3 linked regions of the Drosophila melanogaster genome follow. The protein of the gene in region 3 interacts with the protein of the main gene of each other region in a biochemical or structural test. Each region holds a gene or a part of one and is shown on either strand. Other genes may lie near its edges.

What was found.
Region 1: the proteins of DIP-iota (region 3) and dpr2 form a complex in vitro, tested with the Drosophila melanogaster proteins (one study listed by BioGRID).
Region 2: the proteins of DIP-iota (region 3) and dpr7 form a complex in vitro, tested with the Drosophila melanogaster proteins (one study listed by BioGRID).

Annotation. Positions count from the first base shown.
Region 1 is NT_033779.5:10,962,123-10,965,881, forward strand, and holds the start of dpr2 (defective proboscis extension response 2), read right to left. Parts: upstream 2,032-3,759; 5' UTR 1,104-2,031; intron 1-1,103. Other genes in the region: Tmem214 (transmembrane protein 214), read right to left, coding at 3,483-3,597, 3,670-3,759.
Region 2 is NC_004353.4:251,707-255,465, forward strand, and holds the start of dpr7 (defective proboscis extension response 7), read right to left. Parts: upstream 1,624-3,759; 5' UTR 1,495-1,623; exon of another isoform or gene 1,308-1,494; 5' UTR 1,248-1,307; coding exon 1,118-1,247; intron 1,006-1,117; exon of another isoform or gene 1,005-1,005; coding exon of another isoform or gene 953-1,004; intron 465-952; coding exon 349-464; intron 1-348.
Region 3 is NT_033779.5:6,619,797-6,623,555, forward strand, and holds the start of DIP-iota (Dpr-interacting protein iota), read right to left. Parts: upstream 1,905-3,759; 5' UTR 1,715-1,904; coding exon 1,630-1,714; intron 1-1,629. Other genes in the region: CG34345 (uncharacterized protein), read left to right, coding at 3,327-3,547, 3,608-3,759.

The sequences.
Region 1 (3,759 bases), 4.3 Mb from region 3:
TATCATTACCACAGCACTTAAATGATTTCAACCGTTGCTGGAGTTGTGTAATGAGTTGTTGTTTGTTGCGATGCCAATCAAACAATGGTGGTAAAATTAACATGGAATCAGCTTAAAATGCGCACTGCAATTGTTATTTTCATGGCATCGTTGGTTAATTGAATTTAGTGGTTTTGGATATGTATTGTTACTTTTTGGATAATTTAATGCCAAACTTTCATCGCGATAATGATGCATTTATAATTTTAGGCTAGTCCATTTTAAGTGCCACAAGTACAGTCTGCTGTTAATTAATGATATATATTGTACTTCTATGGCAGAGTCACTCAAATTCAACTAAGCCCACTTATCAAATTTAGCAACTGGCTTTTGTCTTCCGTTGTGTACTTCAGGCATAAATGCAAGTTAATTAAGCAAACCTGGTTGCACATTAATCACCTGGACACCCGGCCAAAAAGCCACAAAAGCACCTGGAGACCACTTGATCTTTAAGGAGAAAAGTCAAGGCATAAAGCTCGAAAGAAAATTCAATTAGAAAAACACGAAAGGCGGCCAAAAGAGCGAGGAAAACGGTTCGATTTCAATGTCTTCTTTTTTTGGGGGCTGTCCCCGGACATATGTATATACTGCTATTCCCTATTCAAGCCATTCTTTATAAGGTTATAAGATTAATGAGAGACAAGCTCATCTAATACTATTCCCTCAAGCGGCACTTAATTAATGCCACATGCAAAGAGTCCTGCGAGGTCCTTGGCCTTTGTCGAGTCCTTTTAAAGGCAGCTGGCAAATTGTCCAAGAAGTTTTCCTTAAAATTTTTTTTACTGTCGTACTTAACGAGTTTTTACTAAAACAAGGTCGGCCTTTTGCCTTTTTGCTTAAATATTAAATGTAATTATACTTTATTATATAGTATAATATGTGCAAAAAATGCTTTAAATCAAAGCCAGTGCTAACAAATGGATGTGTACATGTTTGCAAAAGTTTTAAAAGTCCAAAACTACACCAATTATTGACTGTCTGTGGAAAGTTTATTTATTGACGGAACAACTTTGACCTTTCCGCATCACCTCATTAACTTTTTTGTGGTTTAGTGAATTAATTACCTTTCCTACTTCATATCACCACAAGAACTCATTAGAAATGAGGACTCACTTCAAAGTCAATCCGTAACACACGTGCTCATTAGGTACATATTTCCGATTTTTCATTCTGCCCTGGATTTCAGAGGAAAAATGCGAGTGAACTTCAAAAGCAGATAAGGCGAAGAAGAACTTGGAAAAACTTCCATCTCAACTTGGAAAAACTTTGATTTAACATTTATTTTTGCACGAAACTCTTGGTTGTTGTTTATGCAACTGTCTGGAGTTTCAGTTGAAGTCTGTAAAAAATGTGTTTTGTTTTCTGTGTTTCAATCCTATCGCTAAGCGTATAATTTGCAAGAAACCTGAGTAACAAATGCATTTTCGATTGGCATTAAATCACGTCGCCCGTCCGAGTTCATTTCCGATGAGAAATAAATGTTTTTCTCTGATTTATCTGTGCTCCACTTTTCGAGGAGGGAAAATCGAGCCACATTGAATGCGAAAGAGCAGTGTGGGTGGGTTAATATTAATGTACTTAAAGCTGTTATTCGACTCAATTTTGGTGTCAGCAGCAGCAGGGCGAATATTTCCCATGAATTTAACCATTTAAACATCCAATGTTAGTTTTTAACAGACAATTAATTCAGGGGACAATATCTTTCACTGGCCGCATAAAGCGGCCTCCAATTCGAAACTTCACTTTTGCCTCAAGAGCATTATACACTGAGCGAAATCGAAGCCGAACGATCTTAGTGTCGTCTCGCGCACAAGTTGAAAAAACAGATGCGGCAGTTGGGAAAGTTGGGAAACCGCGACACCGCTATCGAATGCGGCAACTACGAGATATCCTTTCGTGGCCAGGACCACAATCTGCGATAAGGACTCGTAGTCACATCCGCGCCAAAGGACGAAACACGTGCGCCGCGACTTGAAATTCATTTGATACTGCGGCATCCGAGGCCGGAGCTTTTCCGTATTGTTGTTTCCTCCGCGCTGCAAGTAATCGTTCCGATGTGAACCGAGTCCTGCCAGCCACGAACAGGACGACGAGTTGGTTGTTATTGTCACTCCCGCACTCCGAAAACGGGTGACTTTGCGGCGAATTCGGGAAAATCCTTGTATTTGAAGGGGCGACTGTCTCCAAGATGAACGTCTAAAAGGGAAATTTTGCGGGGAGAATTTAAGCAACTATAATGAGAACCCTACTTTGTTGTACCAATTAGGAAAAGATTCTATCCAATCATGCCATTTCATGAAGATACCAAAGCTTATAAATATTTTAGAAATATAATTAAAACTTCTTCAACTTTAAAGGTGTTATTTTTCAAATACGCAACAATTTTTTGTTGTTTGCACTGCTTTGAATTATGATACACTGCTTAGGAATTTCTCTTCACTGCTTATATGGGTAACAAAAACCTAGGGAAATTTTAGTTCTTGGACTGCTTGCAAAACATTTGAACTGCTTAGTTTCGAGAGAACTGTTCTAGAAAAATTGCCCAGGAAATATTACTGATCTAAATTCTAGTCTCTTTTGGGAAATAAAAACTGCTTTCAAGCCGCTTTTCCAATTTAAACAAGTGTGTAGTGCAAGCCATGCTGCCAATGCCAACAGGTGTGTTCAGAATCTTACGATTCATCAATATGCCCCCAAAAACATAATCAAGCACAGAAAAACATTGAGAAATACGCCTTTACTTCACATCTTTCAATTTTATTTTATTTATGCAAAATCGTGTTTTCCATTAAATATACAAATGAGATTTAAAATCAAATCAAAAGTATCGCGCTATTATGCAAGTATTGGGGAGGAGTCTACAGAAATGTACACACAAATGCAAGAAAACTATGAATAAAAGTATAAAAATATTTGAATCTATTGTTTGCCTTCAAAATGCAGTTGGAATTGTTAAGTTCAGTTAACACAATAGAGTTAACACTTCGCGCATCGCCACAAAAAACGCACTTTAATAATTACAATTACAAAATTTCAATGGTAGAACTTTTCACAAAACTCTCATGCCGTTGTAAACGAATTTAAAAATAATGTTTTCTCAACTTGGAGAAAAATGTTTAAACACATGTTTTACAACAGAAAATTTCTCGTGTCTTTCACTAATTTATCAGTATCGAGGTTGAATTTACTAGATTGTTAGTGTACTATCGGCATCCACAAAGATTTGCTCGTATTGCTTTTTCTTAATTAAACTTGACGAGAAGTTGTTGATAAATGTGAATGACTTCTTGAGTTTCGACTTATAGAACATTTTCCGGTTTTTTAACTTTTTGCGAAAAATTAGGGCTTCCTTCACTATTTACTATGACGCGTATTCTGTTTGCATCTGCTGCAGCTGCTGATGATGTTGCTGTTCGAGAAGTAAGCGTTCCTGACGCTTAAAATCATTTGAGCTTGGCGTATGCGTCGACCTTTTTGTGAAACTGGTTGTAGTACTCCAGGGCGGCGTTACGCGTCTGGTTCAGCGCCTGATTGATGTTCTCGGGCGAGAGACGGCCACTAAACAAAGATCACAATCATAAGGGATGCATTCTCAAAGACAACAAAGGCCAGGCAGGCAGGCATACTTACACAAGCACCTTTTCCTTGATGAGCGCTGCAGCCTTTTCATAGCTGCTGGCGGCTAAATCGCTAACGCCAGCGGCAAAAGCTTCGATTTTG
Region 2 (3,759 bases), on a different chromosome or scaffold from region 3:
TTTTTCACATTTTCAAATTGAGAACAGGCCTCGAAACAAGCTTGATCGATGGAAATGGAGGCAAGTTCCCACGTAGATTTGGGAGGAGAGTTGAAAAGGGCTAGCGAAAAGACAGCGCAAGCTAGCAATCCTTGGGAGAAAACTGCCTTTAAAAAATAAAACGTTTTCCTGGTGTGTCCCCAAGTTTAGTTTGAAATTTAAGGTTACTTCCCCCTCAAACAATTTTCCGTCACTAATTCGTACAGTCGTACTTTTTACCATGTGACCGAATGTGCTCTTCAAACGAATAAAAATGTTTCGATATAATCCTATGTGTAAGAATAAAAGAAAGAACCCATAATGACTTACCGTGCGATTTCCTTTATTTTTAACCCGACATCTTAATATTGCGATTTCGTCGACTACGGCCGACACATTTCTTGGGCTAATATCATCAAAGAAAGGTCGCTCCAAATTGGTTAGGTCTAAAATGAATTTGTATTTTATGTTAAACGAAAACGGATGCTAAATTATTCAAGCCGAAGCGTATATACCCTTGCAGGTATAAACTAAAAATAATTTTATATGCCCCTTATCTAGAAGCTAAACATTTTAATTTAAAGTTTCGATCTTTTTATGGACGGAAGTGTCGGTCAAGACTAAGAGCTTGCGACAACTATATATACATGCGCGAAATCTTTTGCGATAGGTCGATCATAAAGAGTGGTTACACTTGTTGGTGAAAGAGCTTGGGGCGAGACATGAAACTGTTGTCATCTTTTAGAAACCGAAGCTCCTCTCGAAGGATGTTTTGCAAAGCAAGCTTTCAGGTGGTAAAAATACTATGGGCAAAATGCAATATTAAGATTATTTTTTAGATTTAAATTTAGCATAATTTAAATACAATGGCTTTTTAAACATAATACTTTTGCGTATAATTTCACAATTGAATATTGTTAAGTACAATACGTACATACATGTATAATTTTTGTCTTCGTATTCAGGAATGCATTATATGTTTTCATTCTACACGTTGCAGAAGAAAATGGGTCCAACCAAAATTAAAAAAAAAATCCCGCAAGGGTAAAAATATATTTATCATTCTAGTGGGAAACTTTTAATTTAAAATGTATCTTACCGTTCAGGCTTAAATATGAAGTTGCACTAATGTATTGACACCATATATTTAAATTCAAGACTAAAATAATGAATGGTTTGATTTTAATTGGCGAATTATTCAAGAATGTGGCATGTTTGCCACGCGACATGTTGCTTTAATTCATTTGTCTTTCACAGATATGCATTATTTAGAGTAGAATTCCATATACCTATGTAGTTATAATAAATGTTAAGTATATAATTAAGTTAGATATTAAGCACACGCGAGAGCACGTATTGGCGCAAGATTTTTATTGAGAACAACTTTGTATCGGCATCGATTTTTTATCCTTTTAATGGACTTTCAAATAATATTCTGTTTTTCGGTATTTAGATCTGTGTTTTTAATATACATACAATTATACTTGCTGGCTTCAATTTTTATATACTTTTTTTAGTCTTTACACTTATTTCGTTGGCATCGACAATTATTATTTCAACGGTAAGCTCTAACAACCCCTAAGCAGCACGTTTTAGTGTTTCTGTGAGGACGACTTGTATACAGATTTTTAATATTCTGCAACCCTGAAAATATTCGCGCATGCCCATTGTCACATATGTACATATGTGTTATCTTACAATTTAGGATAGATTCTATATATTTATAGATTGCGTAGGTTATAATTATTTGTATGTATATATTTTTTAATTTTAACATTTTGAAGTCATATACTAAGTACTCTAGTTTCCTTTTATTGCTAAGACTCAGTAACACGGCTTAATAATATAAGCAATGGGCGGAATACAAATGGTACACATCAATTTGAGACTGAGATCAGATAAACGTGACAATAGCACCTTTACCCCTTAAATTTCGAACAAATTTGTTACTACTGACAGTTACATTCTCAAAAACGGTAATGGTAATGTAAGCATACATTGTGAATTTATCCTAAAAAAATGCATAAGTTATTATACCAGTTACTCGTAAATTTAAATGATATAGAAAAGGAAACGTTACCCGTTACTCGTAGAGTAAAAGGGTATACTAAAATCGTTACAAAGTATGTAACAGGCAGAAGGAAGCGTTTCCGGCTACATAAATTATATGATATTATTATATTATATACATTTTTATTCTTGATCAGGATCAAAAACCGAGTCGATCTAGCCTTATCCGTATGAACGCCGAAATCTCAGGAACCATAAAACCAAGAAGGTAGAGATTTAACATACAGCCCATATTTTAAAAAAATTGTTGGATGTTGTTCCAATATTTTATTATTCTTGTACATTTCTATCGATTTGCCAAAAAACTTTTAGCCCCGCCCTAAAGCCCCAAACCGGTCACGCCCACTCTACTATTATTATTAAATAGTATTAACTATTATTAATTTTTTTGTCATTTTATTCCCCAATATCTATCGATATCTCAGAAAAATGATAAAATTCCGCGTTTGCATTTACACTAGCTGAGTAACAGGTATCTGATAGTCGGGGAACTCGACTATAGCATTCTCTCTTGTTTTAGTTTTAAGTTGACTTGTTTGAAAATTAGTGTAAGTTAGTTTAGTTCACATAAAGTTCAGTTTCGCTCCCTTAAAAACTGTCACCGTCCTTGTTAACATCTAGGTGTTTCCTTTTGAAAATCAATTCTTAAATTCAAAATGTAGCTTCACACAGATAGAACTATAACTTTTCAACTAGCAGCTTGCACAGAGCATGACACATACATAAGGCCAATTATTCGCTTCGGACTAAACATCTGCAAAAGTGTATAATTTGTTTTCCTTATAGAAGGCAACACCATTTCAGGTCAAGGTATTTACATGAACCTAATGTAATGTCTCATCAGCTCTACCGCAATAGTAGTATTATTCTTAAATAACAGTACATTAATTGCAAACGAAAATACAAATTCCAATTGAATTTAGGTTTGTCCGGTATAAGCACGACAATTGGGATAACAAGGTATTATGAAATTGTATACATATGTTTTTGTACAAATCTTGTTTGTAAATATAAACTTAAAAAGTAAGAAAAGTAAAGAGTTTGTTTTCAGAACGTGTATATGTATGCACATTAGTCGATCACAAGCGGGATGCTCTTGTACCATAAATACATTCAAAAATAATATCTCGTGAACTTCGAAATATTTTTATGTTTTTTTTTCTGAAAATAATGTTCTCTTATTATGTACACGCTATCTCGCCAGGCATTTTGTGCTATTTTTCGAGGTTTAACAGTGTCTAAATAGAAAATAAATAGTATCAATAATATGACATATAAAAATTAAATAACAAATAAATAATCGTAAACCTCAAGGTGTCATAGTTACTATTTGTTGATAAAATTATACAGAAGTACTGGTTATTCCAGAATTTCAATATAAATATTGTGTGCTTTGAAATATAAATAAAGTCACTCACATGTGTAGATACCAATTCTATTGTACATATACGAAATCTCTCCTGAGAAAATCAAATATATGTACGCATTTATAAATAAATTGGTGTTTTTACCTAGTATATTACTTTGCAACTCTTCGTATAATTGTTAACCTGCCTTTTGAAAATATCGTTGTGAAAATATGCTATGTGCTGATGCGGTGACAATTACTATGAATCCAAATTAGTGTAAAACTTAAACATATGTACTAAAAACACCACTATTATGATAAAA
Region 3 (3,759 bases):
TGACTGCCTTCAGTTGATATGGTTTCTGTTTTTGTTGGTATTGCAATTTGGTTATTGCATGTTTGCATATTGAAACATTCCGAAGAAAGGGACGAGCGAGACTTTTTAAGCCATAAAACACAAACGTACTTTGCACTGGAAATAAAAGTATAATAAGCTAAAGAACTAATATAAAAAAAACAAAAATTTCAATAATATATTTGCATCAACAGATTTTGATTAGATTTTTTATGCATAAAGGAGCAATGAACATAAAACGCTAACAAAACTACAAGGTAAGTAATTATGTATAATATCTTACTTTTGATTTCTACTTTTGAAATTATTCTGAGTGTACTCATACATGTGTGTTCATATAGTTAAACTTTTCTTCTTTTATTTATGTCTGCAAGGTAGCGTAATTTAGCATTTAACTTTTTCGCCACCGCACCGCCTTTGTTGTTGCCACATTTTATAAGGGGAAATTGACTATGAGTTGTTAAATATATTTTCCTGTTTTCTTGCACGACTTGTATCGCTGGAATCGCTTGAATCGCTCGGCCAGGACTTAAGCCGCATTTTCCCCGCGAAGTCGCTGCAAATCCGGCCGTGTCCTTTCCCCACGCCACTTGAACTTGAAACGGAAAGTGAATGTCCTGTCTCCTGTTAGACACTCCAGCTGTCTGCCGGCGAAAGGAATCACAATCACAATCAGCACGCAATGTCTGCCAAAAAGTTAAGTAAAAACTGCGAAATAACCCACTGCAGTGGCAGTTCCACACCCGCAACCGCCAACCGAAAAACGCGGCACTTCAGCGGCAGAAACCGCCGGCCAGGAATAGAAAAAAAAATGAAACGAAAATATCGCAGAGTGCAATAGGAAGTGGGAAAACGTCGCCTTTCCGCGACTGTCTGTCTGCCTGCCCGCTGTGCGGTGGGTGGTGGGTGGTGGGAGTTGGTTGGTTGGCACGGAACATCGTGCGGTGCGGTGCATCATCACTCCTTTGAGCCACTTCTCACTTTCTTATCGCACGCTGCGGCTAGCCTGCCAATATTTATGTTTACTTTGCATCTGGCACATTGATTTAAATGCGAATTTTGTCGAATTTTGATATATTTATCGCATTTGGCTCGCCAAAGTCAAGGAAAATTTGTTTTGTTTTTTTTATTCGGCGCACATTTTCCCCAGCGGAAGTTACCCCTCGTTACTCTTTCGCAGCTCTCCACCGGAAACCCCTCTGCCCGCTCCCTTTCCCTATCACCGCCATCCTGTCTGTCCCGTCTGGGGAATATGTTGGCCACAGTTTATTCACTTATGGACTCGTTGGACTTCCGATTACCAGCTACCTTCCATTTTATACGCTACCACTCCGGCTTTAGATAGTTTGCAGTCAATTAGCTGTACACTTTTGGGTTCATCATTTCGTGTTGGCGGGTTACAAAAGTTCAGCTTGTAAACAGGATACTTTTTAATTGTACAACATTCAAAAAACGTCATATTAATCGAGAAAAACTATCCTTAAAATGTTTAATTTAATATTTAATGGGTTATGCATTTCATTCAAAGTAAATCTTATATTTCTGACTAATTTCATTATTAGCAATCAGATTTATTTATCCTTTAGTTAATCACATCCTCGATCCACTTACAATTGTTTAGCTCCGAAAAGCTGGCCTGGCTGAAACACACGCTCTGCAGGAGCAGCAGCCAAAAGCTGGGCAATCGCCTTCCCATAGCCGAAAACTCAACCGCAATCAAGGTGCGAAACTTTTGAATATTTGCTGATTTCCCACTTTAATTTTTAACTCTGCCACTTTCACTGCCCAAATGGCCGAAGTTCAACTTCCGCCGCAACAGCGCAAATGTATTTTTTCCGCTTCTGCGGATGAAGTTTTTTCCGCCGATTGCCGTGGCCAAACGTCCGCACACCCGTACAACTGGTCGCGAACTGATAATCAAGTGTCAAAACTCATATTCAAAATTCAAATGCGGCACTGGCGTTGCGCATGTGTCCTGCGGCCTTGCGAAGGTAGTGGGTGGTGGTTGGGTGGTTCTAGTGTGTCTAGTGGGTATGGTTGTAGCCCAGTAGTAGTCAAGGTGCCCGGCAGCCGAAAGACGGTGCTGTGCAATAGTAAATGTTTCATTCATAAACCGCCCGACGTAATATTTTCATATGCACGTGACGATATGAAGTATACGACATGTTGCCGGGGGAAAGTGACACATTATTGGTGATTTTTTTGTGGGCGGCGGAGAATAAAGGCCAACTCCAATACCATTCTAATTAACCCCGAAATGCCGCGCATCTTCTGCCCAACTTTCACCCGTATCCCCCATATCCCTCCGGATTCCAGCTGCTGCTCCTCTGCTTTTCTGCGATGCTTGCACTTCCAACTGGCTTGGTTTGCATGTGTGAGCTTCTCGGTAAGTTGGCATTAAGTTCGCACCGCTATTTGCGCACAATTAGCGCTTTTCAATAGCGATAACAATAATCATAATAAGCACGTGGAATTTGCTTGATTGTTGTTTTCCCTAGGGGCACATCTTTTGCTGGCCCATGCAAGTTTCTCTTCGTTTCTTCATTCTGGCCTCTGAGTCAGAGCCTCTGTCTTAATTAAATAATATTTTGCTAAAATTTGAGTGTGTTTTTATGCAATCTTGAAGTCTAAGTGATTGATAAATCCTACCTTTGTTTCATAATTTGATTAGTCAGCAAAATAAACTTACGTTTTAGAGTATCTGAATGGCAATACGTACATTAGATTGCCTTGACTAGTTATGTATATTTTTAAAATAGACTTAAATTCAAGAATTGTTAGTTTAGTGGATTTAACATACTTTTTCATTATTTAAAAATTATTTATTTAAAAAACTGCCGATAATTTCAAATTGTTTCTGCTTGATGTATAATAAAGCCTTTCAAATAAACTTTCCTTACTTTTACTTACACATGAAAAGTATGTGTCTTGGCTAACTGTGTAGAAACTCGAAATCAAATTTCGAAAAAGCAAACAGAAATGGTTTACAACTCCGATGTTACCTAACAATAAAATTATGGCGGTGTATAACTTTGCTAAAAGTTATAGTGTTGTGTAGCGCTGTTAAAAGAAGTAAGCGAATTTACAACTATTTTTTGAAACAAGAATCACTCATGAAATATGTTCTATGAGGCTTGTTAGGGAAATACTAAATTATATTAAGCTAAATATACAAACAGTGTATATGTGTAACTTAAGTGTATCAATCACCGCAGCATTTAAAATAGGCCTGACGAATAAGCGATATAAATCAATTTAAAATGTAGTATCTTCGTTAGGAAATGAAAAAATATAGTTTTCGCAGCAGAATGTTGCTAAGATCATTTCATTATATTCTGCTGAACTGGATTTTATTATTCCTATTCACAGTTTGCAAAGCAAAGAAAGCCGAAAATGATGTAGTACAGGAAGTAATATACTCAAATTCCATTCGAGCCCTGTCTGAACTTCGCGAGATTGAGAATTCCTATATGGAGCATTTAAACAACTATGTTAGCTTTCTGCAACAAAAAATCAAAACTCTCAGAATGTATGATATATATTTTAATTCCTCTCTTAAAACTAGAATTACACTTTAACTTTCACATAGTTTTATTAATTCTTTAACTCCGAATTATTTGGATCACAAGGTGGATCGATATAAATATGTGTCCAATCCCCTAAATTCCTTTGGACTTTTAAGGCGGGCTCATCAAGATTGGCCCAAGTTGATTGCTTACTTAAAGGATCAAGGAAATATAA